4 linked regions of the Coturnix japonica genome follow. The protein of the gene in region 3 binds, or shares a complex with, the protein of the main gene of each other region. Links are inferred from orthologs where the notes say so. Each region holds a gene or a part of one and is shown on either strand. Other genes may lie near its edges. The genes, in order: UNC79, FAM155A, NALCN and UNC80.

The links.
Region 1: the proteins of NALCN (region 3) and UNC79 are in contact, whole or in part, in a cryo-EM structure (PDB 7SX3), measured with the Homo sapiens proteins. The link is inferred for Coturnix japonica from reciprocal best matches to the Homo sapiens genes NALCN and UNC79. Residues at the interface, in NP_001337678.1 of Homo sapiens: Gln349, Met350, Phe351, His352, Glu353, Gly358, Trp359, Gln360, Leu361, Phe712, Ser713, Ile714, Arg717; in NP_001333147.1 of Homo sapiens: Cys861, Gln862, Ile865, Glu968, Pro969, Asp970, Phe1020, Gln1022, Pro2088, Asp2089, Ala2092, Pro2093, Leu2095, Leu2096, Met2099, Leu2139, Pro2141, Asn2142, Gly2143, Ile2144, Gln2147, Leu2148, Ser2151.
Region 2: the proteins of NALCN (region 3) and FAM155A are in contact, whole or in part, in a cryo-EM structure (PDB 7CM3), measured with the Homo sapiens proteins. The link is inferred for Coturnix japonica from reciprocal best matches to the Homo sapiens genes NALCN and NALF1. Residues at the interface, in NP_001337678.1 of Homo sapiens: Cys207, Val209, Asn220, Leu222, Ala223, Ile224, Pro225, Thr227, Tyr237, Pro240, Phe243, Tyr406, Glu409, Phe909, Ala1044, Lys1045, Asn1047, Pro1049, Arg1054, Ile1060, Arg1062, Ile1063, Asn1064, Val1065, Ser1066, Lys1069, Lys1080, Lys1081, Gly1083, Phe1084; in NP_001073865.1 of Homo sapiens: Lys278, Glu281, Phe282, Val285, His287, Lys288, Tyr289, Leu290, Gln291, Glu294, Tyr295, Ser296, Val297, Lys298, Ser299, Tyr308, Trp311, Leu312, Gln315, Leu335, Gln338, Thr339, Cys341, Phe343, Ile344, Leu345, Pro346, Asp347, Asn348, Asp349.
Region 4: the proteins of NALCN (region 3) and UNC80 are in contact, whole or in part, in a cryo-EM structure (PDB 7SX3), measured with the Homo sapiens proteins. The link is inferred for Coturnix japonica from reciprocal best matches to the Homo sapiens genes NALCN and UNC80. Residues at the interface, in NP_001337678.1 of Homo sapiens: Asn639, Met643, Val644, Ile646, Lys648, Leu649, Pro650, Phe653, Val655, Pro656, Lys657, Ile658, Arg659, Glu660, Phe662, Met663, Lys664, Gln665, Phe666, Ile667, Arg669, Val711, Ser713, Arg715, Ala716, Arg717, Leu719, Lys722, Glu723, Ala725; in NP_115893.1 of Homo sapiens: Lys1979, Asn2004, Glu2005, Cys2006, Asp2007, Leu2128, Arg2129, Leu2130, Pro2131, Pro2134, Arg2135, Ile2138, Asp2139, Phe2142, Phe2145, Ser2146, Glu2179, Asp2184, Glu2185, Met2187, Leu2188, Asn2191, Asn2194, Ile2198, Leu2199, Glu2202, Ser2226, Leu2227, Ser2228, Gln2231.

The regions. Positions count from the first base shown.
Region 1 is NC_029520.1:40,928,202-40,935,487, forward strand, and holds the start of UNC79 (protein unc-79 homolog), read left to right. Parts: upstream 1-3,446; 5' UTR 3,447-3,569; coding exon 3,570-3,591; intron 3,592-3,814; exon of another isoform or gene 3,815-4,011; intron 4,012-7,286. UniProt on the Homo sapiens protein: Auxiliary subunit of the NALCN sodium channel complex, a voltage-gated ion channel responsible for the resting Na(+) permeability that controls neuronal excitability.
Region 2 is NC_029516.1:126,347,467-126,354,714, forward strand, and holds the start of FAM155A (transmembrane protein FAM155A), read left to right. Parts: upstream 1-2,481; 5' UTR 2,482-2,618; coding exon 2,619-3,428; intron 3,429-7,248. UniProt on the Homo sapiens protein: Auxillary component of the NALCN sodium channel complex, a channel that regulates the resting membrane potential and controls neuronal excitability.
Region 3 is NC_029516.1:129,118,605-129,125,973, reverse strand, and holds the start of NALCN (sodium leak channel non-selective protein), read right to left. Parts: upstream 4,632-7,369; 5' UTR 4,162-4,631; intron 4,135-4,161; exon of another isoform or gene 4,116-4,134; intron 1-4,115. UniProt on the Homo sapiens protein: Voltage-gated ion channel responsible for the resting Na(+) permeability that controls neuronal excitability. NALCN channel functions as a multi-protein complex, which consists at least of NALCN, NALF1, UNC79 and UNC80.
Region 4 is NC_029522.1:6,625,507-6,631,578, reverse strand, and holds part of UNC80 (protein unc-80 homolog), read right to left. Parts: intron 3,910-6,072; coding exon 3,828-3,909; intron 3,744-3,827; coding exon 3,632-3,743; intron 2,479-3,631; coding exon 2,267-2,478; intron 1,449-2,266; coding exon 1,185-1,448; 3' UTR 1-1,184. UniProt on the Homo sapiens protein: Auxiliary subunit of the NALCN sodium channel complex, a voltage-gated ion channel responsible for the resting Na(+) permeability that controls neuronal excitability.

The sequences.
Region 1 (7,286 bases), on a different chromosome or scaffold from region 3:
AATTCAAATGGAGATTGATGTAATTCCTGGACTCAAGACCCCGAGCCTTTAAGGAAAACATCATGGGAATGTATTAACAGATGGTAACAGTGATCGTATCTGTTTACAAACATGTGAATGTATATAAACATACACATAGATAGATGCATAAATAGATGTATTTTTATATATGTATTCATCTACTCTAATTTATGAACAACTTAAGAAATTTTCTGCATGCAGTTGATGGTAGGAGAGCTTACAGTTTCATATTTTTCACAAGGATTACCTTTTCAATAATAGATTGTTTAATCTCAGTGGTTAAAACCAAAAGACTTTAGATCTTTGTTCAGAGACAGTTCATGTCTGGAAGACTTCATATGGTATTTTATTTTGCGTTATTTTAAACATTACACACTATTTTTTTCCTGAATTACATTGCCATTGCAATTCACGCTGTTATGGAAAACAAAGTCACAAAACCAGCAAAATCCACAGAAGCAGTAATTAATGGATGGGGATCCATCCCAAATCTTACCTGCCTTACCCTACAAAAGGCACAGTAGAAGGAAACATGAAGATTAAGCCTCCTAGGTTAGTGGATTATACCTATTTCCTCTGTAAGAGGTAGGTGTGTTTTGTAGCTCTCAAATATACTGTGTCACCTTAATATCCAGACATCCAGATGGCTGATTTTCAGCAATTACCTCCTTCAAGCTCAAAAACAGTCCCTCCTAAAGTGAAGTCAAACGTAGGTCAGTGGAGGCTTGTGTGGATGAAAGACGTGTTTCTGACAAAAGCCAAATGTAAAAAGGAAGTGTACAAGAGGTGAGAGCAGGGGTAAGGAATAGGACCTGTAAGGAATAGAGAAACAGTGTGCAGGAATGTCTGAGTGTGAAGAGATGGATGGAGTTAGGAAAAGTAGAGATTACCAGGAGCTGAATCTGGGGAGGGAAAATAAAGGACAGTCAGAGGGATTTGGTAAAAAGAAGGCTAAGAAAAATGGGGTAGGGGATCTGATGATGAAGGATGTGAAAAAGGCTTAAATACTCAGTATCTTCTTCACTTTAGCCTTTTCTGATAGGGAATCCAAGGACGTGAGGCCAGAAATTCTAGAAAAAAGGACTCACTCAAAAGATGGAGGGAATCAGATTAGGGAACAAGTCAGACAAGATTTAAACAAGTCAGACATACATAAGACCATGAGGACTAAAGGAATGCATGCCCAAGTGCTGAGAGTGGCCGCTGTCATTGTGAGACTGCTTTTGATTGTCTTTAAAAGTACAAGGGAACTGGGGGAGAGCCCTGAGAAGTGGAAGTGGAAGTGGAAGAAAGCAAATGTCACTCCTAATTCAAGAAGGGCAAACACAAGTATCTAGGAAATCGTAGGGCTATACACCCTTACCTTGGTCCTTGGAAAAATAAAGGGCAAACAATCCTGGAAAACCAAATACACTACGGAGCTTAGGCATGGCTTAGGCATGTACAAGGACTTATGAGCAATAAACCTGTTCTCATATACCCGAGATACATGCTGGACTGTATAGGGTCTTGCTCAGTAAATGCAGACAAGCCTCCAATTTTCAGGCATTTAAGTCAAAGAAGTATTTTATATGAAGAATGGAATTCATATTTTCTCAGTGTACTCCTGCTTTATCAAGCTGAATGTTTCAGGAGGCTCATCACTGGTATGTGAACACTCGGTATATTTTAAGGGATACCCATGGGAGCTCAGTTCCTCTCAGTGAAGAGATCCCTATTGTTCTGTAATGAGTGGTAGAACACTTTAGCATGATCTGTTGCAACAACAGACAGAAATTCAAGATAAAGATGAAGTCTGACTTCAACAGCCTATTTCTGTGAGGCCTGAAAGCCTATATTCTGAAAGCCTCCATTTTCCTCACTGATGTTTTGTTTGGCGAGGTTAAGACTTGGGGAAGGGAGGCTTGCAGTTCCATGTGACCTCCTCAGGCACTTCATTACAATAAATAAATGGAAAAACTCTCATTGACTTCAGCAGGATCTGATATCACACGTCAGTGCCTAATGAAAGAGTGAAGCGTAAGCAATCTCTGCCTCACCTCTGCTGCCCAGGTAACAATATACAGATCTTGCAGTGAGCTCAGCAGGAGGAAAGAGCAAAGCACATGTGGGAGAAGAACAGAACTTTTTGCTTTCTTAAAGTACCACTCAAGCAACCAGAGCCATCCTTTCCCAATTAACTCACGTCCTTCTGTTGCCATCCAGTTCCACTATATATCCATAGCAGCCACAGGTAGTCATAGCAGCCTCCAATCTGAGCAGCAGGAACCGGGATGCACTGCTTGCATGATGAACCAGAACATGCACCTATACTCCTCCAGCTACCTGGCACTGCTCTCTTTGGCTGCTGTACGCCACCTCATCCAGCTCAGCCCTTTAGGGAGATTATATTGAAACAGTATTACTTGTCAGGATCCAGACGCCTGCCTTATGGTACCTGCAGACTCCTGCAAAACACGGGTCCCCTGTGCCAAGCAATCTTCTGAAGCCAAACTACTGGATACAGACAGGGACTGCAGGGTTCTTGATCTGTTTACCACCCTCAGCTGTTTAAACTGGAGTTGGATGAACACACATCCATGAATTTGTGTGCCCACTGAATTGTGTGTATTTCTCACCCTGAAAAATGGTAATTATTATTTCAAATACCCTCATTTATTTAATTATTATTTTTATTTTCCTGGAAAATGATAAATATGTATTTGTTTCCTTCTCCACTTCTGTAAGTGCTACTTTAATTATGATGTTATGATGTCCCTGCCCGCAGCAGGGGTTGGAATTGGATGATCTTTAAGGTCCCTTCCAACCCAAGCCATTCCATATTTTCCCATGGCAGGAACCTACAGGCATTGCTAATAAGAAATAAGAAGAAAAAATGCACTGTGAATCTGGAGGGACTGTGGAATAGGATTTGGTTAGAAAATACAGATGTGTCTGCAGTGCAGCTCGTTTATTTAGCATGTGGGGGTCAGACTCTTCTCCCAGGCAACAGAGATAAGGTGAGAGGCATTAGGTTGCGCCTGGGGAGGGTCAGGCTGGATACAGAGAAGCCTTTCTTCTCTGAAAGAATGGTAAGGTACCAGCACAGGCTGCCCAGGGAGGTGATGGAGTTCAAGAAAGGTACAGATGTGGTACTGAGGGACATGGTTTAGAGTGGTCACAGCATGGATCGATGTGATGGTTGGGCTAAATGATCTTGGTGGTCTTTCTGACCTTAATGGCTCTATGACACTCTGATGATGAGCAGCTGCTGCCTGTGGCCCCAAGGCAGCCCCCAAACACCCCCAGAGCCCCACTGGGGAGCACCACCACTTTCTTGGGGCCTCCGGGACCTCGGTGCCGCCCCCCGGAGCCGGTCAGCGAGGCGGCTCCAGGCAGGTTCCCTTTAAGAGCTCTCTCCGTTCCCGCCCCGTCTCCGCCCGCCGCCGCCGCTCCCGGCCCGCATCCTTGCGGCAGCGGCTCCATCCCCAGCGTGGTGTCGCTCCGAGACGGGGCGTTGCGCCGTCCCCGCTGCTGAGGTGGGCGCTTGGGGCCGCCCCGCCGGCAGCATGTCCACCAAGGCGGAGCAGTGTGAGTGGCGGGGCCGGGCGGCGCGGCCGGGTGCAGTCCGATGGGAGCGGGGTCCCGGGGGCTGTCTTCTCGCTGCGGGGCATCCCGGCGGGGCAGCGCTCACCCCGCGTTGTAGGGCATCCCGGCAACGGGCAGCGGGAGGGGTGGTCTATGGAGGGGGGCCGCCTCCTTTCTGGCTCTTTCTGCCTCCGCCGTTGCGGTGGTACTGATGGCGAGGCGGCCTTCCTGGGGACGCAACGCGTCCGTCCTCGCTGGGCGCTGGGGTGGAAGGGATGGAGCGGGCATCGGGCCTCTCCGGCATCGATCCCGGCGCCGTGCCGCCCGGTTGGTGCTCCTGGCTTTGCTGCCGTGATGCTGCCGTCGCTGTGTGATGGAAGCACGGTGCCGCTTTTGCTGGTGGCACGCACCTTTGGGCTGAAGGTACGGCGGCATCGCTGCCTTGCCGCGTTCCTCCACGCCCTGCAGGACCCTCGGCTGCCGTCAGCTCTGCCCGCAGCTTCTCGTGGCAGCCGGTGATGTGCCAGCCACCATGATGGCTGTGTGCGGGGAGCTGCCAGGTGACATGGTGGCTGGGACGGCTGTAGCTGGGCCGCGAGTGTGTGGATGCTGACGGCAGCTGCTGTTCTGCCGGAGCGCTGCGAGAGGCGGAGGGAAAAACAGCAGCGCTGTCGGGATGGTCACCCGCATCAAGGCTACCTTCTCTGCCGGTGTTAGAGCAGCAGGCTGGATTGATGACTGCCATAACTACGCGATGCGATCTAATGGCTCAGAGGTTCATTGCTGTCCTCTGCATCCTGTTGGCTTCTCAGGTCACTGGCAAGAGTCCTTGTTCTGATAAGCCTGTGCTGAACTGCTCTAGGGAAGTGATTACTTGTAACTTTTCCTTTAGGGTTTGCCACTTATTCACAGTAATGGATGATGCCCCTATTAAAATATTATGTGGATGCAAATTTATTACTGTGGGGCTGTGTTTCTGGCCTTGTGTATAGAAAGGCAATGTTCTGACCATACCTCAGGCCTTGAGTGTGCAGTGCTCAGATCCATGCTGCTCTGTTCTTTCTGCCTTCCTCCCACCCAAGTTTCCTTCTCATACACTGTCCTTCACACTGGCCTGTAGAAGAATGTCTGCTGTTCCTTATCCTGCCACTGTCTTCAGCATTTTCCCTCTTTTCTGTTTTGCCTCCTCAGTTTCCCCATTCCTAATTCTTTTGGTCTTCTCTGCTTGAGCTTCTATTCCATATATATATTTTTTTCCTTGTCTGTCTTTCCTTTTCATCCCTTGTACAATTTGGGAGACTGCTCTACTGTGTCCATGTTATTTTTCTTTAAAGATTTACTTGGGCTCCAGTTTGCAGATATTTCCTCTTCCTGACACTTTTTCATGGCTCATCAGAGCACTCTGTTCAGTTAGCAGACATATCCTGTGCATTCCGACTTACTGGATGTATCTTGTTTACAAAGGCTGCTCCCCTGTTTAGTTATTATGGCATTACCAAATGTCTTTTTCTCTACATAACTTAAAGATCCACTCACCTGCAATTTTTGACCAATGGTGATGGTGTCTGACAAGGATTATATTGATGTGCATGCGTAATTATCAGGCAAACCTTCAGACTCCAACTGTGGCTGCTGTTGCTTCTGCCCTCATGGACAGACAAGTGAGAACCAGAATGTCTCAAGGAGGAGTTATACTAAATCTGAATTTACCAAGAAACAACGGGAAAAAAAAACCCAACAAATGTGGAAACGGAGTGACCAGTTGGAAAGAGCAACAAGGCACTGGTCTAAACATGAATGCATGGCCACCCCCTCAGCACTTTGGCAGGTTGTATGGAAAGCAGGTAAAATGGTGGCAATCTGGGAAATCATCTTGAGAAGCTTCTATTTTTGTGACCGCTTGCATTTCATATCTCATACGAGGGGATACTGACAGTGGGTTTCATCACTTGACCCACCACCACAGCATGCCCAAGGTATGCTTTTGTATCAAAAAAGGGTTGGTTCCTTTTCACCTTGAGTTACACTAGCTGGCATTTAGTTGTGGTAAGTAATGTCCTGGGAAAGCCTGATTCTCACAATGTTTTCCAGGGTAGTGGAACAACCAAAACCATATTTAAAAGCTCTTAATAGTTTCACTCAATTCAGTAAGTGCTTATGAGGAAGCTAGAAAGTTTAGTTAGGTTGGTGCAGATAATAAAGAGATACCCAGCAAAATACCATGAAATATTTCCTTTTCATTTTTACTTTGAATTTGTTTTATATGATGACCCCATGAGAGGGGCAAAGAAAGTATTTCCACAGAGTGACATCATATTTTGAATTGTATCTCTGGACGCTCAGGTAATTCACACATTTCACTATCTTCAGGGCTTATAAACCTTTGCTCTGGGGCTTTCTTTTAGAAGGGTGTCAGTGTTCTGGGATGCTGTACTGAAATGGTCAGCGTTCTGGGCAGCTCTGTGAGGTGAGGCCAAAACCTTGAGTCTAGAGCTATGTTAAGTATTTAGAAAATCTAAATAAAGTGTTCTGTTATTTCAGCTTATATAATTGCAAGACTGCTCTGATTAATAGAAAAAATATATATACACGCTACTGAAAGGAAGTAATTGTCGGAAGATGTTCCATAATTTTCAGCATTTCATTAATTAATTTCATTTACAGATATCTGAATCATAGAATCATTGAATCACCAAGGTTGGAAAAGACCTAAAAGATCATCCAGTCCAACCGTTCACCTATTACCAATAGCTCCCACTAAACCGTGTCCCTCAACACAACATCCAGTCTTTCCTTGAACGCCCCCAGGGTTGATGACTCCACCACCTCCCTGGTCAGTCCATTCCAGTGCCTGACCACCCTTTCTGAGAAGTAATACCTCCTAATGTCCAGCCTGGATCTCCCCTACTGTAACTTGAAAGCCATGGCAGCCACATTCAAGGTCAGGCTGGACCATGCTCTACACAACTTGTTCTACATGTGGATGTCCCTGTTCATTGCTGGGGAGCTGGACCTTTAAAGGTCCCTTCCAACTCTGAGAATTCTATGGTTTGGGCAATTGAGGGTTGGCAGACTGGGTTCCTCTGTAGAGATGGTCAGACTGAATAGAGCAAAAAGTGCCCAGACCATCCTTGATTATACCTGCATGAGGCTGGCCTCACATAGGCAGTGCGCAACTCGGTAGCTATAGTGGATCATTTTTCTTCCAATACTGAACATGGAGCTTGGTTAGATACTAAGAGCGCTATTTCTAAAACAACCAATCTCAAAGAAGGTGTAGAGCTTCTTCTACTCTTTGAAATGCTCTCATCTGCTTGATCAGATTTCTTAAGACACTTAAAGAAACAGCACAGCTCTTTTAGTATCTGTAGTTCATTGCATAGCGTATATTTGTAACATTAAGTAAATAATACCAGCTCTCTGTATTAGCTTGTATTTCTCCTTTTGGCTATAGAAATGTCACCTCACATAAACCTCCTGTTATCCAGTGTCTCATTTATTATAAATGAATCCTGAGATTTTTTGAAGACACAGATAACTGCTCTTTTTCAATTATCCCCCCTCCCCCATTTGCTAGCAGAAAGGCAATATGAAGCAGGAGCAGACTTGCTGCCTTTCTTGTCTTCCCCTTAGCACTCATGCATGGTAATGTTCAATTTATTTTCTCTTAGAGGTGTCTGTATCATCTATTAGATATG
Region 2 (7,248 bases), about 2.8 Mb from region 3:
GCAAGTTAGATGACTTACTCTGTTCTGATTAAAATCTCAATCATGGTCATCTCCCAGAATGGAAGGCAATACAAAAATGCAGTTACACTACAGGGCTCAGTATGTCAAATCATCGGAATCAAAGCTCCAAGATCAAAATTATTAATGTACCATTAGCAGATTGTGTGAGCTGATTGACCAAGAATTGCAAACTGCATTCTGATTGAGTACTGTAGACTTTTTCTTACAATACCAGCATTTTTTTTCTGTCTCTTTAAAAAGTGTATCAAAATAAAATCCACAGTTAACTTCTGCTCAGTGTAGAATTTGACTTATAGATCTTTTAAGGCCAAATGAGACCATTATGATAATGTGCCTTGACCCCCAGCATAACACAGGGCATATAGCATCACTCAGCAACTCCTCCCTTGGGTCCGCATCTTCTGTTTGAGGTATACCATTTCCTTCTGAAAGACATCCAACCTCACTTTATTGATCAAAGCAATGGAAATTCCAGCACATTCTGTGGTAAACTCACCCCTCTGTTAATGACAGCTGCAGCTAGAAAAGGTTCAAGTTTTTTCCTCTTCTGATTTGGTCTAGTTTCAGATTTAATCTCACAGAAGTAGAGAGCCATCGGCTATTAGAAATGATATAACATTATAGACGATGGCCAAGTTTGTAAAGGATAAAGCTTTCTTTAACCATATAATGGTGAAAGTTACCTCTGGGGGGTACAGCATGCACCTCATTCAGGGATCATAATCAGTTCCAAATGGTCTTTTCCCTCCAGATGGAGAAACCTCCAGGAATGAGGATGGACACGTCCTCTCCGACTTTCTCCAATCCAATGGTGAAACAAAAAAATACATCTTAGTTGTGCCCTGACCAGAAGCATATGTGATTTCTTGAGAGTAAGACCTTGTAGCATTAGGCTAGTAGAGGTCTTCATCTGATAACATTCAGTCTCTTTTCTTGTCTTGTGTGGGATCCAAATGCATCTGTTGCTGTTATATTTAAGTGTCACAGCAAGCAAGATAAAGGTAATTGCAGGAGCGACCATGCAGTATGTTCATTAAAGCAAGCGATTCTGCTGGTAGGGTCCAGAAGATAGTGGAATCTCTACTGTGGGTATGAGATCATCAGCTATCTGGCTTTTATCACCCAGATAAGACAGTTAACCTTATTCTTTGTCTCTCTCTCCAGGAAGCAACATCCAAAAGGTGAAACACAAAGACTGGTAGCACTTACTCAGCTCAAGCGTGCTGGACTAGGGTTCTGAAAAACTTCTCTTGTGGGAATGGCTTGGGGTTTATGGGCATTTCCCTGCTTACCGACAAGAAGGAAAGAAAGCTATTTCCAAGCATTTTACTGTGGGGCCAAAACCTGATGGGATCCAGCCCCTGGGGTTTCACGTGCCATTTGTGATTTGCTGTGACCAGGACAGACACGACAGCAGCCGTCACCCTGAACGGACATGGTATTTGGGGACACAGGAGAAGGAGACCCTGTAGGAGAGAGGGCTGGAGTGTGGATCTGAGCAGTGCCTTCAGCAAGGGGAAGCAGGGAGGCGAGTGGAAGGAGTTGCACTGAGGAGGCCCTTTGGAGGGGCCATGTGGTCCCCAGTGCCTCTCCCACCTCCTCCTCCTCCTCCTCCTCCTCAGGCAGGAGGAGGCAGACTTGCTGCTGCTGCCAATGCGCCAGGATAGAGAGATCTCGGCGCGGGAGGAGATGACGCAAAAGGCAGAGCTCCCCCCAAAAAAGTGTTTCTCCAGGACGAAGATGGCGGCAACTTAGCCCAAGGGCCCAAGATGCCTGTGGCCATCGGGGCCCCCCAGCCAGGCAGTTCCGCCCCGTGCGCCCGGGGACATCGCTCCCGGCGGCAGCAGCGGAGGCAGCCGCAGCCCATTGTCACCAGCGGCGGCGGCGGCCCCGGCAGCCTCCTCCTCCTCTTCCTCTTCCTCCTCCTCCTCTTCAGCATCCTCGGCAGCGCTCCGGGAGCCCTGCAGCAGCGTCTCTCCAGTTAGAGAGGAGGGGGGAGAGGAGAAAGCGGAGACGGAGACAGCGGTGCAGCATCTGTGCCGCGGCTCGGGGCTGAGGAAGAGGAGCGGCGGCGGCGGCGGCGGGGAGGAAGAGGAGGCGAGAAGCCCTCCCGGAGCCGTCCGTCGGCAGCGGGGGACGCGGCATGCGGCTGTCCGGGGGCAACGGGCTTTTCTCGGGAGGGAGATGGAGAGCTGCTCTCTGACCATGCCTGGGTGAGAGGGGAAAGGACCAGTCGCGCAGCCCCGCCACCACCAACTACCACCACCACCACCACCATCTCCTCTCCCTCTCCTCTCTCTGCGTTACCGCTCTCGCTTTCTCCGCGGCACTCCGCGGTGGATGGACTGGGGCTGCTTCGTGTAGCGAGACCAAGGCTGAGCCACTGGCCAACCCCGACACTATCTCAGAGGAAGAGAAAGAAGAAGAAAGAAGAGGGAGAAAGAGAGAGAGGGGGAGAGTGGAAGAGGGAGCGAGCGAGCGAGAGGAGGAAGACAGGCAAGAAAATCCCCCCAATCTTTTAAGTCAATGCATATTGTGGTGACACCGGCAAAGGAGCCCTCACGGTGGAGTCGGCCAGGGCTGTGCGTTCCCAAAATATGACCAGGGGTGCTTGGATGTGCAGTCGGCAGTATGACGACGGCTTAAAAATCTGGTTCGCATCCCGGGAGAACGAAAAACCCTTCGCGGATTCAGAGAGGGCTCAGAAATGGCGACTGTCCCTGGCATCGCTCTTGTTTTTCACGGTCCTGCTCTCTGATCACTTGTGGTTCTGCGCCGAGGCCAAATTCACGGGCACCGGAGAGAAGGAACAGCCGCCGCCTGACAAGCCGGAGCCCGCGGAGCCGGAGCTGCCTCCGGGCATGGGGGAACCGTCGCCCCCCGCGCCCCGGCTCCTCACCCCCCCCGAGCCCTCCCTCCCGCCCTCCCCCGGCAACGGCGGCGGCGGCGGCGGCGGCAGCGACAGCGAGCCCCGGCACGGCGAGGCTGCCTTCCTGGGGAACTCCACCGCCGCTCCCCCGGAGACGTGCCCCCCGCCGGGCCGCTCGTCCGGGCGCTGCTTCAGCGTGGGGGACGCCGAGGCGGTGTGCCGGAGGCGGGGGGACTCGGGGCGGCAGCGGGGAGCGGGGCAGAGCCCGGCGCCCGGCTGGGAACTGGCGGATTTTTACCTTTCCTTTTGTAATTCCTACACACTTTGGGAGTTGTTCGCCGGGTTGTCCAATCCGGACACTTTGAACTGCAGTCTGGATGTGGTGCTGAGGGGGGGAGGCTCCTGCAGCCAGTGCGTCCAGGCTTACCAGCGCTACGACCAGCACGCTCAGGAGAAATACGAAGAGTTTGAGGTTATGCTCCAGAAGTATTTACAGTCGGATGAGTACTCGGTGAAATCGTGTCCTGAGGATTGTAAGGTAGGAGCCCCTGCTGTGTTTCCTGTCCCTCGGCGGTGGGCTGCCGGGGTGCCTTTCGTCTTCGCGAGTCGCGCCGTCTCTCCGCGCGTTGCGCTGTGCTGTGTGGGCGCTCCGCGTTGGGGATGCTCGGGGTGCACCTGGCGTCGGCGGCCGCTATCCGCGGGTGGGAGCATCCGGGACCGCTGCGCAGAGCCCCCGGGTGAGCGCTCCTGAAAGGGAGGCAGGCAAAGGGGGAATGTTAAAAAAATAAGAGTGTGATTCTGGGTCCTCTGTGAGTGCAGAGCTGGATTTCCCCTTCCTCATGAATATGCGATTGGCTCCGTCTCGGCTGCCGGATAGCAGCAGGCTGGGATGCGGCTTGGCGGCAGGCAGCGACGGGGTCTGCATGCCAATGAGCGGGGCCCAAGACCGCAGTCGGGGCCAGGGTCGGTGAGGGGCGCGGGATGGCTGGGCTCTGCGTTAAACCGAGGGACGGGAGGACCGGCCTCTGCGGCTGGGGGCTGCGGGTCGATTCCTGTCCGCGTTTGGCCCCGCGGTCGGTGGAGCGGGAACGGGACCCTGCCTCCAGGTGCTTGTCCGCGTCTATGGAGAGGGAAGTGCTTGAGAAGGAGATGGATGTGCGCGGGGAATGTTGTGATCCTTGGCTGGGAAGTGGTGGTGATACTTGTCTGGTGATTGAATCTCTTCAGGACTCGGTTGTTGGTTATGGGGCCATAAGTGAGTTTTCAGATGTCTGAAGAGGCTTTTGGTTTGCTCCGCTGGAAGGCAGGGTCCCACTTTGTTTCTTTGGAGTTGTTGTCTTCTCTGTACGTTTGCACAAAATGAGTTGGCCTAATTCTCAAGAGAGGAGGAGATGAGAAAAAAAAAGTGTTATCTTTTGCACCTTAAATAATTATCCACATAGTATTTTCCCTGTTCATACACATATTGAGTGCCAGGCCAGGTGAATGGTTTCTACCCTGTACTGGATTAACTCAGCTACTGAAGCACTACATTAACCAGTCTGAACCAATCCTGCGTTAGCAGTGGAGCACAACAGTGTGTACAAATCCCTGTGCTGAGCAGAAGGCCTAGCAATAGTACAGTGCTCTATAACTTCAGCAGGGCCTTCTGAAATCACTTAATGATGACAGCATATTTCCAAAGCATCCTATTCCCTGTTCAGTTAGTGTACTTTACACATGTATTTGTCTGAAAATCAATCCAAAAAAAAAAAAAAAAAAAAAAAAATCCCCCCAAAAGCTGAAATATTCTGTTGTCTCATTGGGTAAAGCGAGAAAGTTACCTTCTCCACCCTATTAAAACTGACAAAAGTGAAGCATTCATTAGTAATTTTGACTCCATTGTTTCTGGAGTCATGTATGCTTTGTGCACTCAGTTACAGGTGGTGTAAATATATTTCTGAAGTGAATCACTTAAGTAAAAAAGCATAAACTGGATAAATAAAAAAGCGTGTCAAATATAAATAGATGTCTACTGCTGTGAGGACATCTTTGCCATTTCAGTAACTCCTTAACCTAGAAATTGACCTACTGCTCTTGGCTGCCAAGTAATCTTCAGGTTCGAAGTGATTCTCTTCTGTATTGCTATTTGATCAGGCTGAACTTTACCACAAACTGTGCTTTTGATCTACAATATATCATGATATAAAAGGCGCTTAAAATGCACACAGTAACAAATATACACTATATTACTAATTCAATTTTGGGGACTGAATGAGCATAAATGCTTTTCTAAGGATGGGCAAGAAGCTGTTGAAATAAGGTGCTTTCATGAGATAAGCAGGCAAACTAAACAAACATAACAATGACAGATATTAGTTCTGAATGCTGGACTAGTCAATTGATGGAACTGTGTCCTGAGAATCTGGCCAACCAATCTGTTTTAAGAAACATGGGATACTTCGGACGGGAAAAATAATGTTACAAATAATAGCAATGAGAAAAGGGTGAAACTTCGTGTTTTGTAGACTTGAGAGACCCGGGCCGGGCGCGGGGAGGCCGCTGTCCTTGGTGCTGTAGGGTCGAGCCGGACTGCGGGGAGCCGCTCTGTGCCACGTGCGCCCGGAGTTGGTGCTGCTGGTCCTTTTTGGTTCACTCTGGTCGCTGATGAAGTTGAGTGTTTAGCGGGCCCAGTGCTCTGCTAGCCACGTGCTTTGATGTGATTGTACGTGATCTGCACTGAAGTGTGTGCGGGTGAAGCTGGAAACTTGTGGTGATTGGCAAAACAAAATGGGCATTGCGATGTTTCACTGTACTTACTGGTGTTCTGTACATATTGCACCTAATACAATCAGGACATAGTTCCTCCTTCTTTATTTATCTATTTATTTATTTCTCCTTCTTTTCTTTCTCTGTACCTAAATATTAATTTTTAGAGCACTGGAGACCTAGATACATTCTAGCATAAGAAGCAGTATTCATGCGTAGTAAATAGCTTGACATCTAACTATGCACTTGAGGTACACGTCATTGGCTTATGTGGTGAGCTGCTTTTTATCTTCCATTAAACAAAGATCTAAAACTACTGACTTTTTTCTGTTATCGTATATGTAAGCACTGGCTTAGTAAAATAAAATGCTTGTTAAATAATGTATTTGTATTTAAGAGATCATTAGTATTGTAGGAGAGCTGCTCCATTCACAGAAGAGAGCTTTTCATCCAGGTGTCTAGTTATACCTGATGACAAAATCAATAAAATTTATACTGGATACCAGTCACCTGAAACTTTTAATCGAGTATTACTTCCCCCTTCCCCATCTCCCCTCACCTTCAGCAACGTCAATTCTCAAAGTAAATAGTCCAGCAAGTTATGTCATTCAATTATGTAATTTTGGTTATAGAAAACTGTTCATATAAAAATAATGTTGATGTAACTTTTTAAAACTTCAGCTCCATATTATCATTCCTTTATCCAAAACCGAAAGAAAAAACTTAAAATACTATGTTCCGCTACATGTCTCCTAGTCCCTGAAGAGGATTTTAAACAAACTGTTTTGTAATACAGAAAGTTATTTTCAGACAGGAGTTATTCAGGTTATCGGTTCATATCCAGCTATCTAACATGGTGTTTTTTGTTTAATTTTGTTTTAATAGATAGATATATTCTTTTAAAATAAATGCCTTTCTGTAGTCAAGGTCATCTTATTAAACTTCTCATTGAGGTGCATTACCTTAAAAAAAAGAAAAAGACAGAAAATGCTGAGAATTTGTAATCTGAGAGTATTATGAAAGCTATTATTACTGATAGTTACATTCATTGTTACAGTGAATATGCATATGCAACTCATATAATTAAGAATGTCAGCAGACACTGTACATTGTTTGGAAATTCTGGATGTTAGTGTTATCTCTCTGCAAATTAATCTTCCATTTACTCTGTAAAAATATTATTGAAGTCTGACGTCTTTACGTATGTTTTTTCTTGTTCTGATAATCACTAACGACAAAACAGTAAATATAAGTAGGACGCCTGTATGAATGCATTACATATCCAACCAGGTGATATACATAAATTGCTTTTAATTTATTGAATCATTAAGTAATAAGGTAATGGAGAATCTGAATCTACATTTCTCTTTTCTTGCTTTGTATTTATTTATTTTTTTTTAATTTATGAAATTTTGCATTTGAGCGTTTAAAAACAATGGTTATGCTTACAGAAATTGTTATTGACAATCTCTATTGTTGTAATTAAAGTTTCCAGAGTACCATTTTTACATGCAGTGTGACACAGGACTGCATTCAGACAATTAATACAGGATTGTATTGGATTGATGTTAGAAGACACAGTTCCTCATAATGACTTGTCAGCTATCTAT
Region 3 (7,369 bases):
TATATATAGCATGATGATAAAACATTTTTTCATATTATATTAAAAACAAGCAAAGAAACAAAAAAACACACAGGACGAAGGAAGAAATTGTTCTTAGCTACGCATTATGTGGTTAAAGAAAAGATAGACATTTTCCTTCTGTCCATAGACATCTTTCCCTCCTAGTAAATTTTCCCTCTTCCTCCACTAGCTTTTCCCTCCATGACTGCTATTGGGCACAGTTGAAAGTACAAGATATTTCAAGGTTTGTTTTCATGTACCAGAGCATTTGAAGTGAGACAATTACATATATGGCAGCACAGATACACTTCAGTTTAAAAGGGTAAAGATGGAATTCCAAAGGATACAATCATATGACACATTACACTCCGGATGTTATTAACACATAACTGGTTTCAAAGAAAAGTTTGTGTTCATGATGTTTATCTTTGTGTGGTATTATTATTCCATGTGATTAACTGTACCAAAAAATCTCCTCATTATTTTACATGCAGCAGACAGTTGACTGTTAAAAGATTGAAAAAAAATTAAAAAAAAGTGAAGGAAAGTGAAGGAAATATCTGAAAAACCCCTTTCATTTCACATCATTTGGTAAGAAAGAAGTGACAGTTTGAACCCACTAACAGAACTCCAGACCAAAACTCTCTCTCTGGGGTTCAACAATCAAGGAAAGTTTAACATTGGCTTGAGGCTGCCAGTGTTGCACCCGGAGAGCTTAGCTTGGAAAAAAAAAAGGCATCCAGGCTTTAGTACTTTCCTCCTGACATTTTCCTGTGTTGTTTCTGGCTAAGGACAATGTTCATGCCATACTTAGTTCTTAAATTTAAGTTCTTAATTCCAGACATAGCCAAAATGATTTGGACCACTCAGCAGGCAGAATCAAATATCGAACTGCATATAAATGCAGTCCTCACACGACCAAGATGTAAGCCTACCATCACCATTATGCCACGTCATGTGACAAATTCCTTTCACAGGAAACCTTCTGACCATTAGAATACACAATTCTGGAGAACCTACATGTATCCACCTAGACAATGGCCATCATAATTTAATTAAAAATGTTGTGTTTTCACATTTTTCAATTAAGAAACCAATAAAAACAAAACTGAAGATGATATTTCAGATGCTGTGGTTGTAATGATGACCACTGGTGGCACAGAAGTTACATGTGGAGATTATACTGATGGCAGTATATTCCCTCTATGGATCCACAGTGTGATTTAACAACTGGATTATTTCAAATGCTCACTTCAAGTACAGACCGCCCACCTATCACTTGCTGTCCCAAGATTAGTCTACTGCAGTCTAGTCTATACAAAAACCCCTTAAAGGACAAAGTTGATGAAGAAATGCAGCAATGAGCTGTCAAGAGTCATACTAGAAAAAAAGAAAATTAAAGAGCTATGTTCTGGGATTTGCTTTTGTGGTCTGTTCTTCTCTAGATAGAAATCACATTATATGTATGAAAGCAAGGGGACAGGGAGCAAGTTATTCTTTTAGAGGATTCAGGGAGCAACCCATCCTTTTTAAAGCAGCCCACATGTTATAATCTCCTATGAATGCTGCAGGAGATATGTTTTGCAGGATTTTAAAAGAAGGCCTGAGGGCACCCTTCCCAGTATGATGAAGGGGTGGAAAGGAGTTTCTCTGAAGGCAGAAGGCTGGCAGCACGCTGGCTTAAGTGATTATTTTAATGTTGCTGGGATTTTGTTGTACCACTAATTATGCTCTATTGAGCCTACAACTTTGTGTACACATCTTTTCACTATTTAAATTGAAATACATTAAAATATAATAAGTAGTGATTATATTCCTTCAGCACTGTTACAATTCTTACTAAAGTAATTATTTAAAAAATCTGAATGAATTTCCCTTTCCAAATTCTTCCCGTTGTTTTAGGATCTGCCAGAAAAACAGCCACCTCCCATGTATTTTAAGTGTGAAATTCTTAAAATACTATCAAGACTCTTCCCTCTTCTTATATTTTCTTTATGACAAACAAACTGACCTGTGATACTTGATCTCATTGCTGCAATAGAGTTCTTGCATGTTGCAGCCACAAACTTTGGAAACCTATTGCCATCTTCATAAACACAATGACTGAATGTCGTGCTCCAGGAATAAAAGGGCAAAGTTGTAAAGGTTTTATTTTGGGGGAAAAAAAAAATATATATATATATATATATATATATATATATATATATATATATTAAACGGAAAGAAGAAACCACAACATCACAGGCTAAATCAGGTTGGAAGGAATCACGGTGTCTCTAGACTAATCTTCTGCTCAAGTGTGGTCAAATGTGATGTCAGCCCATATTTGTACAGTCCTGAAAACCTCCAAGGATGGAGACTGCTCAGTTTCTTTGGGCATCTTTTTCAACTGCTTCAGGATCCTCACAGAGGGGAAAAAGGGATGCAAGATGAGTATATCACAGATAGATCCGAGAAAATAAAGGAAGGGAAAATAGATAAATCAGTAGAAACAAAACAGTTTGAAACCATAGCCCTTCAACCCATAATGTTCATATTAGTCTGATTTTTTTGCTCTTTACTTCCAAAAAGATTTCAAGCTCAATACCTATGGGAAAACCATGTCATTCTCAAACCGTGGAAATACTGCATTGGTAAAACAGCAAAAATAGGTTGATTTCATGAATACATTGACTCTGTTTAACTCATAAACACATAAAAAAATCTTGTTTTCAACTGCCTGAATTCCTCAATAACATTGAGGGGAACCCCAAATTCCAGAAGCCACTAACAGTTCTAACTCATCATGATAAATATCCAAGAAGGCATTCTCATCCTGAAAATTCATTGACTTCCCACTTCTTCCTGAGTTTGGTCCTATAGCCCAACACCTATATCAAAGCTTAGCATTTCTTTCTTTGGAAGAAGGATTTAAGGCCTGAAAACCTACACGGTTCAAGACATGGGTTGGAATGAATACCACACAGCTCCACATGGTGCTTATGGTGACGTCAGTGTCCAAAAGGAAGGAAGTCAAAACAGTTTGGATGTTAGAAACTGGTATTCTCAGGTGTATCTCAAATGTGAATGAGCTTTGGTAGACCAAGCTTCAGAATGAAATAAAATATATGACAAACAATATGACCATGAGTCTATACTTCAATGCTGTTGATTGCCATGGCTTTAAAATTTCATTTTAAAAATAATGCACCTAGTTGAAGCAATTAAAGTATTCCCTCAGCTGTTCCTAAATGCTCCTAGGGCTACCCTTATGGACTTGCAGCAGCCTTCAAGAAGCCCAGTAGACCAGCTCGAAGATGTTTTTTTAATCCATCCACAGATGTTTTATAATTTTGTGATTTACACAGAAAGAAAAAAAATAGTTCATAGTTAATATGTATTACTTCCTTTTTTGGTTGCTTAGGGGGTTGGAGGGACATGGTGGCTGTAGAAGGAAATAAATAGAGGGAAAATGAAATGGGAAGTTGAGATGTCACATCAAAAAACAAAGACCTAAAGAGCATTTAGTTAGCATTATGTCACTGTGAATATTTTCTTGTTGAGAGACTCAGAATGTAACACTACAACTGAAGAAAGCACAGCTAACTTAAAGGCTGATGAGAAACTAAAGACCATCGGAAATCCCAGCTCTTCCTAGAATGGTGCTTTTGACATCAGGAGTGCTAAAACATAAAGATGCGAACACCAAACCCCAAAGATGCCTTTCTCCACTGGACCAACCCCAAACACCGACCACTGACTGCAGGAAGGAGCACTTCAGCTCAGCCTCTCTCCATCCACCCCGCACCCGGCGGCTGACGAAGCCCAGCAGAGCGGGCCCCATGCCGGGCTCAACGCGAACCACGCACCCGGCCTGCACAGTGCCGGCACCCAGGCCCCGGATACATTCGTTGCCCCGCAGGCCGACAGCGAGCAGCCGCCCTCCCACTCCTCCCTGGCGCTGGCCCCCTCCCACCGCGGGGCTCGGCAGGACGCGGCCCCAGCGATACCCGGAGCCTCTGCCGGGCCTCTCATCGCTCGTTCCGCCGGCGGCCTGGGAAGCGCGGCGGATGGCAGCGGCGCTGGTTGCGCGGGGGACCGGGGATGGAGCGGGGAGGAGCCGGGGGACACCGTACCGAGCCAGCACCGCGCTGAGAGCCGCGCCCGATGCCTCCAACCTACCGCCAGCATCCGCCTTCATGGCGCGCTCGGGAGGGGCCGGCCCCGACCCCCGCGGGTGTGTGAGATGCTTAGCGGTGTTTCGGCGGCGGAGAGGGGGGGAGCGGAGCGGAGCGGAGCCGGGCGGCCGCCCTCGGTCTCTCGGCAACGGCGGCGGGTGGGGCGGCCTGCGGGCCCCGAGGAGCGGCCGAGGAGGTGACCAAACCAACCCAGCGCAACATACGCACAGCCAGGCCAAATAAATAAATAAAATCCACCCCAGGTTCTGTATCCTCCGGGTTTATGAGGCTCGGAGTAAAGTGGTTTGGGAGCCGCAGGGTGAGCTGAGGCCGCCGATGACTTCAAACAGAGCCATCACGCAGCGAGAAAACAGAACGCAGCCCTGGGAGCGCATCCTGGGGTTGGCACATCTGTCACTGCCAGCGCCTCTCCTCGGCCCCCAGCATCAGACTGAGCATGTAGGGTGCTCTTGGGAGTGAATGTGTCGGTTCACTGAGGCCTAAAACAGCTACGAGTGAATGAATGGAGAGCCTGATATCACCTGTTGTAAAGGAATACCTTAAAGAAATACTTGGAAAACCCTGTCACTGAAGTCACCACGTTCCGGCCTGTATTTTTATCTTCTTGTGAGAAAAACAATAATAATAATAGTAAAAGTGAATTTCAATGAATCACGCTTTAAATGATTCCAGTTGGTAGCCTTCTGAGCCTGTAAAATTAGCAAAATCAAAGAGATAATCCTGCAAATGCAGTTGCTGTGATAGACTTAAAGACGTGGAATAGGATTTGAAAAACGAAACCCTTAGCAAAATACTGCAGAAAACAGAAGGGAAACATAGGGCATAAATTGCATTAAGTTCTGTTAGATTGTATCTATGTGACTGTTACAACAAAAAGCTAATAAGACTGTCAGGGAACTGGCCTGAGGTTTGTGGATGCAGTTCTGTCAGCGCTTGTGTTCTGTGTTAACAGCATTAGCAATTCCAGTGAATCTGAGTACCTAATTACAGTGTTTGCAGAACTAGTGCCTCTAATAGTAAATGACCAGCTCATACAGAAAAAAAAGATAAAATGAAGAGGAAAAAAGTAAGCAAATCAGTTTAGAAATAAATGTGTTTACAAGTAGTACTCTTAATATTTTTAATCATTTTCCTCCTCAGTTATATTCTAGTAGTCGGACTAAGTTTTTAGGCAGTGTTATGCTGTTGAGGATAGCATCTCTTGAATGAGAATTGACAGTTGCAGAGCAAAACTTTAAAGTTACATCTAAGCAAAAGAAACCAGCATATGCAAAGCCGGTGTGATTTTGTACAACTGCTTTTCAGTGGATATAGTAGCTAGTGAAAACTGATATGTGATAGAACAATTTGGTTTAGTTGGGATCTCAGGAGGCCATCTGGTCTGGCCAATCTGCTGAACCATCTTGGTTGTCCTGCAAATGAACCTGAGCTCTAGTGTATTCACATTTTCCTTAACTTATTTCACACTTCTGCTCTTACCTCCTATGATATTGGTAATGGTTAGATTTTGCCCTCCCTACCCCTGTGCAGCTTCTGTGAACTGCAGGCTACTAACAGAGTCAGACCAGTACTTCAGTACAGGGCTGGATTCTGTTCCACTGTCTGTCCATGAACATGACCTGCACCAGGTGGTAATACTGCTGGCAAAATGATTTAACCCTTGATGCATTGGTGTGCTTCCTGTGAGCAAGGGTAGTGTCTTTCATTTATAGAATCGTAGAATTGTTTGAGTTGGAAGGGATCCTTAAAGGTCAATTAATCCAACCCCTTCAGCAATGAACAGGGACATGTAGTGGTAGAAAAGGCTGCTCAGAAGCCCCTCCAGCCTGACCTTAAATGTGTCCATGAGTCAAGCATCCATCACAACTCTTAGCAACCTGTTCCAATTTTCAATTCCCCTACTGTAAAAAAACTTTTTCCTTATATCCAGTCTAAATCTCCCTTCATTTACTTTGGAACCATTTCTCCTAGTCCTATCATTAGAGTTGTGAAGAGCTGTGGAGGTAACTGAGATCTATTATTTGCCAGGAAAAGCTATTTCATGATTTGGAATTTCATCACAAATTTACTTTTATAATTGCCACAGGCAAAGCAATCATGAATACTTTAGAACTGAAGTTGTACATACCATGTATATGCATATAAAGTGGAAAACATATATTTATACAATGGCTGATATAATTTTTCAACAAGTATCAGTTGTTTTACGTTTAACGTTATAGTTTGGTTTTATTCTGTACTAGAAAAATCCCATTGAGCAAGCCAAAAACAGACAGACAAGGACTGAATTTGGGTGGTAAGTGGAACTTTATAATGTAAAATAAGACAAAAGGAAAGATGTATTTCCATAACAATTTACATTTCCTATCTCTAAACCTAGAATAGAAAAACAAATTTTAATAACTCCCCAAGCTTCATCGTGTGATTGAAACTGGCCATGAGGAAACTTTCAAATAAAAACAAACTATAAATGATTCCTGATAGTAAGAATTCAAGAGCAGAATTCTCACCCTTTTCTATTACTTTACTTTCTGTAACATGATCTTTGAACGCAGTAAGAACTTCCATCAAAAAAGGTGATTACAAATCATGCTTTTAGTCCTGCTCACTCAGTAGGTCCTGAAGAAAATGGGTGAATGCAAAACTTGGTTGTGTGTGTTTTGCAGCAGAAATTGGATAGATCTCAAGGCTTGTGTTTTTGTTTGTTAGGCTGATTTTATTTTATTTATTTATTTATTTATTTTGGAATGAAATTAACTCAAGCAACTATATAGATAAAAATTAGTTGTGGATTTCTAGACTGTACCAAAGCAGACAAATAATGAACCTCTCATCTTTCCCATTTTCAGTGCGAAAGGTCAACAGTTAAGAAGGGAAAGCGCTTATTCTAGGCACCAAATCTTCTGTATTACAGAACTCAATTGCTACTATCTTCTTTGTTAATGTACATATAAATACATGTTTCCATAGCATTATATGCATTTTGTGTAGCTGAGAATAGAAAGATGCACATTATTAATAATGAAATTATGGACTTATATTCTGAATGTTTTTGAGCTTTATTTATACCTCTCTTGTTCTCACCATCCATATATGTCTATTAAGGAGTTGAAGAAAATGGAAAAAAAAAATTGTAAAACATCCCATAGAGCTGAGCTTAATGGAAATGCTATTGTTGGAATTTGATTAAC
Region 4 (6,072 bases), on a different chromosome or scaffold from region 3:
GGCTACATTCACATTTCCCAGTAATTCCATAGTGCTGCAGTGCAGCCCTTCACTGAGCTGGGACTTCAGCTGATTCCCCATCGGGGATCACCTCAGTCATATAAATGTAGCACATACACATCTCACACTTGCAGCCGTCAACATTACACACACGTAATGGAACCTCTAAATAGAATCTCAGCATGCCAAAAATAGATTCTTTCATCAAGTTTCTGCACTGCAATATCCATCCTCTCTCTGCAAAGTACATATATATTTGTATGTTTGCATCTATAAGGAACACGAAAATACCATATATAAATATTTACTCTAAATCCCTATAGTTAAGTACATAAGACAGCATCAGTAGAGCAGCTGCAAGGTACCAGAAGGTCCACGCATTCCAGATGCGGTTTCCCAGGTGGTTTTTTAGTTCTAAGCCGTGCATCACCCAGTACACGAAAGCAGCAAAGCATGGACTATGTCTTATCATCTGCAGACCACTCACGCCCTGTCCATCTCTCTGTGCACAGCACGTGCATTCCTTTCTGTGGTATGAGCCGCATTTAGTTTAACAGAGCAAATATTTTTGTAGCACGAGGGCAGCATCTTACAGAGCAGAACGACACCAACAGATACAAGCAAAGTCAACTCAAGTCTGCAGTGCCAAAAACATGAAAAAGGAAACACAAGCGTCTAACTGCTCCACAGTGCTCATCATTGCTCTGCAAGTAAGAAACAATGGTTCCAGGCTTGTAAAAGTCGAGCTTTAGATTAGTACTCTTTGTCAGTGCTTTCACTGTTGGTACCAAGATGTCAAAGCCTGGCATCCAGCCGCTGCATAACCAGCCTTCTAGTCAACACGGCTACAAAAACACACCTCCCAAGAGGTCTCTCTTTCCTTGCTCAGTACCTTACCCAGAGAGGCTGCCTATCACAGCACACGGCTGCCACATCAGGCCTTTGTGGACCACGCACACTTGCCCACACACCCGTACCCTGAGAATGTTGTACAAATTCTCTGCTCCTACAAGTCTCGCCCTGGATACGAATAGATTCCTCATACCAGTCTATAGCAACAGGCTGTTAGCTCTATTCTGCTTTTGGATAATAAAGTGCTCTTAATTAGTTACTAGTTACCGGGGAACTCAAAGGAGAAGGTACAGCTTTCTCTTCCTCCTCCCACTACCGTACCTCCCCAAGAGTTAAACATGAGATTCATCCAGGTCGACGTCCGTCTCCCCGAGCTCCACGTGTGTGAAGCTGAAGTGAGTGGCCAGCAAGGGGTTTTCCATCCCATTGTCCTCACTGATGTGAAGCACCGTGTCTCCGTGCTGCAGCAAGCTGGTGGTCTCGAGGCCAGCGTAGTCCTCGGTGTCGGAGAGCTGTGCGGGCGGCGTGCCTTGTGCTGTGGCTGGCCGGGACTCCACATTCTCCTCTTTCTCCTTCTCAGCAGAAAGCACCTCGCTCTGCAGGAGAGGAGAGGCAGTGGTTAGGCTCAGAGGAACAGGGAGGGGGCAGGAAAAAACAGCAAGGGAACACTTGTGAAATATTTACTTATTCTGAACTACCATTTTGCCATTAAGGGGCCAGGCAATCACAGATTTTAAGTCCCTAAAGTTCTACCCTTGCAGTTTTTGCTGGTGAGTCAAATCCGTAGCAATAACCAGAAAAGCTGTTTGCTTTCAGTTTTTAACTCTTTGCCATTTCACTGTTCAGTGTATTTTCAACAAGAGCTTCTTATACTTGTTCATGGCAAAGGCCATACAGCCAAAAGACGTGAGGTGTCTGGGTGTGTAAAAGATCTCAGTGTCACTGTGCAGTCTCAGTGCGTAGAAGCAGTGATCACCACTATCTCTGCACTGTGCTCAGCGATGTCCAACACAGAAAGATGCTGGACAAGCAGCTAAGCAGCTCCTTTTGAAACATGGTGCTGTTAACGTTACTCCCCTCAGTTTCTGCAGGAATCCTTCCTGAAGGACTCACTGCTCATAGAATGAGGAGCAAAGACCAGTTGACAAAACCTCAAGCAGGTCCACAAGGACTTGTGGGTCTGATGGGAAGATTAAAAGAGAAGATACAGGGATCTGCAAACTAAGAATCATTGCAAAGGTAGAGAAGTGAGGGCTTGATACAATTCAGCCTACAAACCACAGTCTTGACCCATCAGCAGGTTTTCATCATGCTGCTGTAGTACAGCTGTATCTACTTGCCCTGCAACTTAAGTTGCTGAGGCTGAGATGAAGCAGCAGGCAAACACACACAATAAAACTGTTGGACATGCTACCTGGCCAGTGGTCTGGCTATGGAGATCAGCTACGACGACAGCAGGTGAGGATGTCAGCACAGTTTTACTTGGAGCTTCCTGCTTGCTGCTCTCCTGGGGGCTGCTGCGGCTGCAGCCCTGCAGCTGGGCAGCTGAAGCTGGGGACTTGGCTGGGGATGGCGGTGCGGCCTCAGGCTGGGCTTCAGTGAAAGTCACCGAACGCTTCTGATCCGCTGAGAGGTGCAAAGCACAGAAAAATGAATTATTAAAATACTTGAATTGAGGAAGGAAAACAGAATGAAAGCAGACAGCATCCCTAGTGGTTTTACAAGCAAGACAGGGCTCCTGATTCATTCCATCTTTATAAGGTGTCTAAATAGCAACCAATCTAAAAGCCTTCTATTCATAGTCTTCCTCTGAAGCCAGAGCAAGAGTCTTGGTTCTTCTGAAGACTACTGAGCCTACCTGTCTTTGTCATGGATCAAGGAGATAATGCCACCCAAAACATATTTCCATCCCTGAATTTCATGTATTGGATTCTCATGTAAGGGAAAACTAAGATGTAAATATTGAAGGGAGTTTCCTGAGGCTTTGAAGGAAACTTGAGAAAAGAAAGAGGGGAGCTGACTGCCTCTTATTCCTTTTACTAACCGAGTCCACTGCCTGGACTAAAACTTAACCGTGAAACTAACAGCCTTGCTCTCACCCTTCATTATTCCTGTAGAAGTTTTACATTCCAAACATCTCCAGCAGCTCTGTTAGCCCAGCAGTCCTGGCTGAGCAATTAGAAACCCAGGAAGTTCTCAAGAAAACTTTGCTCTTCCAGATGTTTCCTCCAAAGTTAATTGCTCACTTCAGATGTGCAGAATGCAACTACCTGCTCTGCTTGACAGTGCTGACTCAGATTCATTTTCATATACAGCCCTTAAAACTCTCAACTGCAAAGCTACAGAGTGGGAAATTTCTTTCCTTCTTCCACTCACTAGCACCTTCAAAACAGGCACATCTGGAAGTTTTGGACAAGGAATGGAGGACACCTGTACCCTAACTTCTCCACAGCTTTAAGAAACATCATTGGCTGTCTGTGTCCAGCTTCACCTTGCTGGCCTTTGGAGAAACCATTCAACCATTGCTGACAGGATATCCACTTGCTAGAGAAAAGAACATACATGGTGATGCTTCACCGTAATCACATTTTCCAGCCCTTACCAACTGAAACTCAACACAAACTAGTTAACGAGGGCACCGCTTATTTCCACAAAGCAGCTGAAAACAGCTTACACACCCTTCAAATATACTAACTTTTCCTCTGATGTAGAGCAACAACCAAGTACTGTCTGCTTTAGGGTACAAAGTGCTGGTTCTGTACATGCAGTACTGCCCTACCGCTTGGTTTTGGTTTGGGTTGGATGCTCCGCCGAGTGGTTGAAAGTCGAGCTCCATGGCGGCTACGAGGTTCAGTCTGAGTTTTCTGACGGGACAGCAGCGGTCGTCGAAGCTAGAAATGGGAAGAAAGAGCCACGTTTCAGAAATCATTTCAGAACAGACACAGACTGGGAACAACCAAGGCCTGTTCACTCACCTGCCGTAGGCCTCTCTTCCGCCCCAGGGGCTGCTGCAGAAGGAGGTTCTGCTGCCCTGGCTCACTCTGTACGCTTGCCACCCTGTTGGATGTCGACAGCGTTAGGTCAGGCACAGAAGCAACCTGTATAACTAGCAGGAGTCCTGGCAGTTGTGACTAAAATAAATAGATAGATCAACCACTAATGGCACAGTCACTTCAAAGAGCACATACTGTCTTTGAAGGATGGTGGGAACGTGTCTGTTGGGTTGTGGCTTCCAAGGCTTAGGAGAGGGTGGGAGGTGGAGTCATGGCATTCAGGACTTGGCCACACACAGGTAGCATCCAACTATAAATAACTACAAATTTCAGTTTTCAGTCATTGATTGATGCATCCCACTGAGCAACACTCACTTCTCTTCACCTTTTGCCACACGGGCTTCTTCAACAAAAGGCAAGAATATCAGCTTCCTAGCTCTAAAACCTTCTTGTTTGCTTTTCATTTACTTCATGGACAATGTTGTAAGAGCTATTTTACTTTTTTTTCCTCCCGAATGCACTCCACAGCCTCATCACAATTTTGTCATCTGGTTTTAATTTCAATTCAACAAACAAAAAACAAACACAAAGTGACAAAAGATCTATTCACATAATGGATGCATGAGTTATGTGAACAAGGCCCCACACTCAACACTCGCAGCCTTGAATCTCTGCAGCTAACAGATGAAAAATACAAGTGAACATAAAATTCATATATACATGAAAGCGCACATATTAAGTTTTAATATCTTGGCACAAAACAATCTTTAGCAATAGAACAGACTTGGCTACGTACCATCCCATTCTACCATTCAACTGATCATTACATCTACTTCCTACAGAAGCAGCACCCTCCCCTCATTTTTATCAAGTACTGTATTCCTCCCAACAGTTAAAAGTTGGTCATTGAGCAGGCAGCGGTCACAAAATGTAATAGCTGAATGCACTGTGTCTGAAAGACTTATGGTTACAATAGCAACTAACATTTAGATGGACTTCCTTTAAATCTGGCAGCTACTTATTTGGGAGAGACTGGAATCCACTGAGCCACAAGTCCTATTTAAGCAACCTCCAGCTATAGCTGGTGTGCACTGTAGTAGATTAGGTATTACAATCCACTTCGCTTTTGGCCTGCCTTAACCTAAAGAAAAACAACCTTTTCTCTAGATGTTTTCCTTGGATCTCCCTGGAGGAGCTCAGTACCACCAACAGAGTGAAATTTTACTATCTGACCTAACGTGAGCAGAGGAAGAAGGCAAACCTAAGGTCTGATGTGGTCAGACGAGACATGGAGGATGTCTGCAGAGAGGCTTAAGAAGTTCTGTCTCCTAAACAGCTCCCTCTTCCCTTTGGCAGAAGTTACTGCTCTTCCTAAGTTTGGTAGAACAGAACATGTGAGCTTCCTGGCCGCGTCAGGTCAAAGTCTGGTTAACTGAGCTAAAAGTCCTCTTCCTTGCTCCCTTATCAGTTTAAACCCAAGCCAGACTTTGCACTAAACTGTATGCGTTTCCAGAAGCTTTGTGGTGAGACAGCTGGCAACTTCAGGAGAAAGACACTACTACCTTCAGCCCCTGACGCTGTTTCTCTTTACATTGTCTGACCACATCATCTCAGTCCTAGCCATGCCTGTGGCAATCTCAGCGCAGCTGTGGTGGTTTGGAAAGAAGGAAAAGATTCTGCAAGCTCAAAGCCAGAACAAACAAAGATAAATTTGAATCCTTTTCTCCCTCAGACAGCTCCTCCAAATGAGATCACCAGCCTCCGGAACATATTTTCCAGCTTTTACATACGGAATTGACATGATTTACATACAAAGCATCCTAAACGTCATGCAAAAGCCTGTGTAATTGCCAGTGTGGGGTTTAAATAAGAATTGGCTAGAGAAGGCCTCGAAAGAAAACTGTTCAATTGAACTAGATTCTGAGAACACTGATAAAATGTCTGATGAAGGAGCAGCAGCTCTTAAGTTACATGAGTGAGGAGACATACCTGTCTGTAGCAGGAAGACTACAGTTCTATTCAGTACTGTTTATCGTGATGAGACAAACTCACTTCACATGCATCATGAAACTACTTAGAAAAGGTCATTAGATAAAGAGAACACGTGGACCACATGAGGGTACAGAGGTTATACATGAAGAAAAAAATGATTCCCATGGAGTAATCTGTGCAGTAAGGACACACAATAGAGAGGTGAGCAACAGAAAGGCTGGATTTCTTGTCTTCC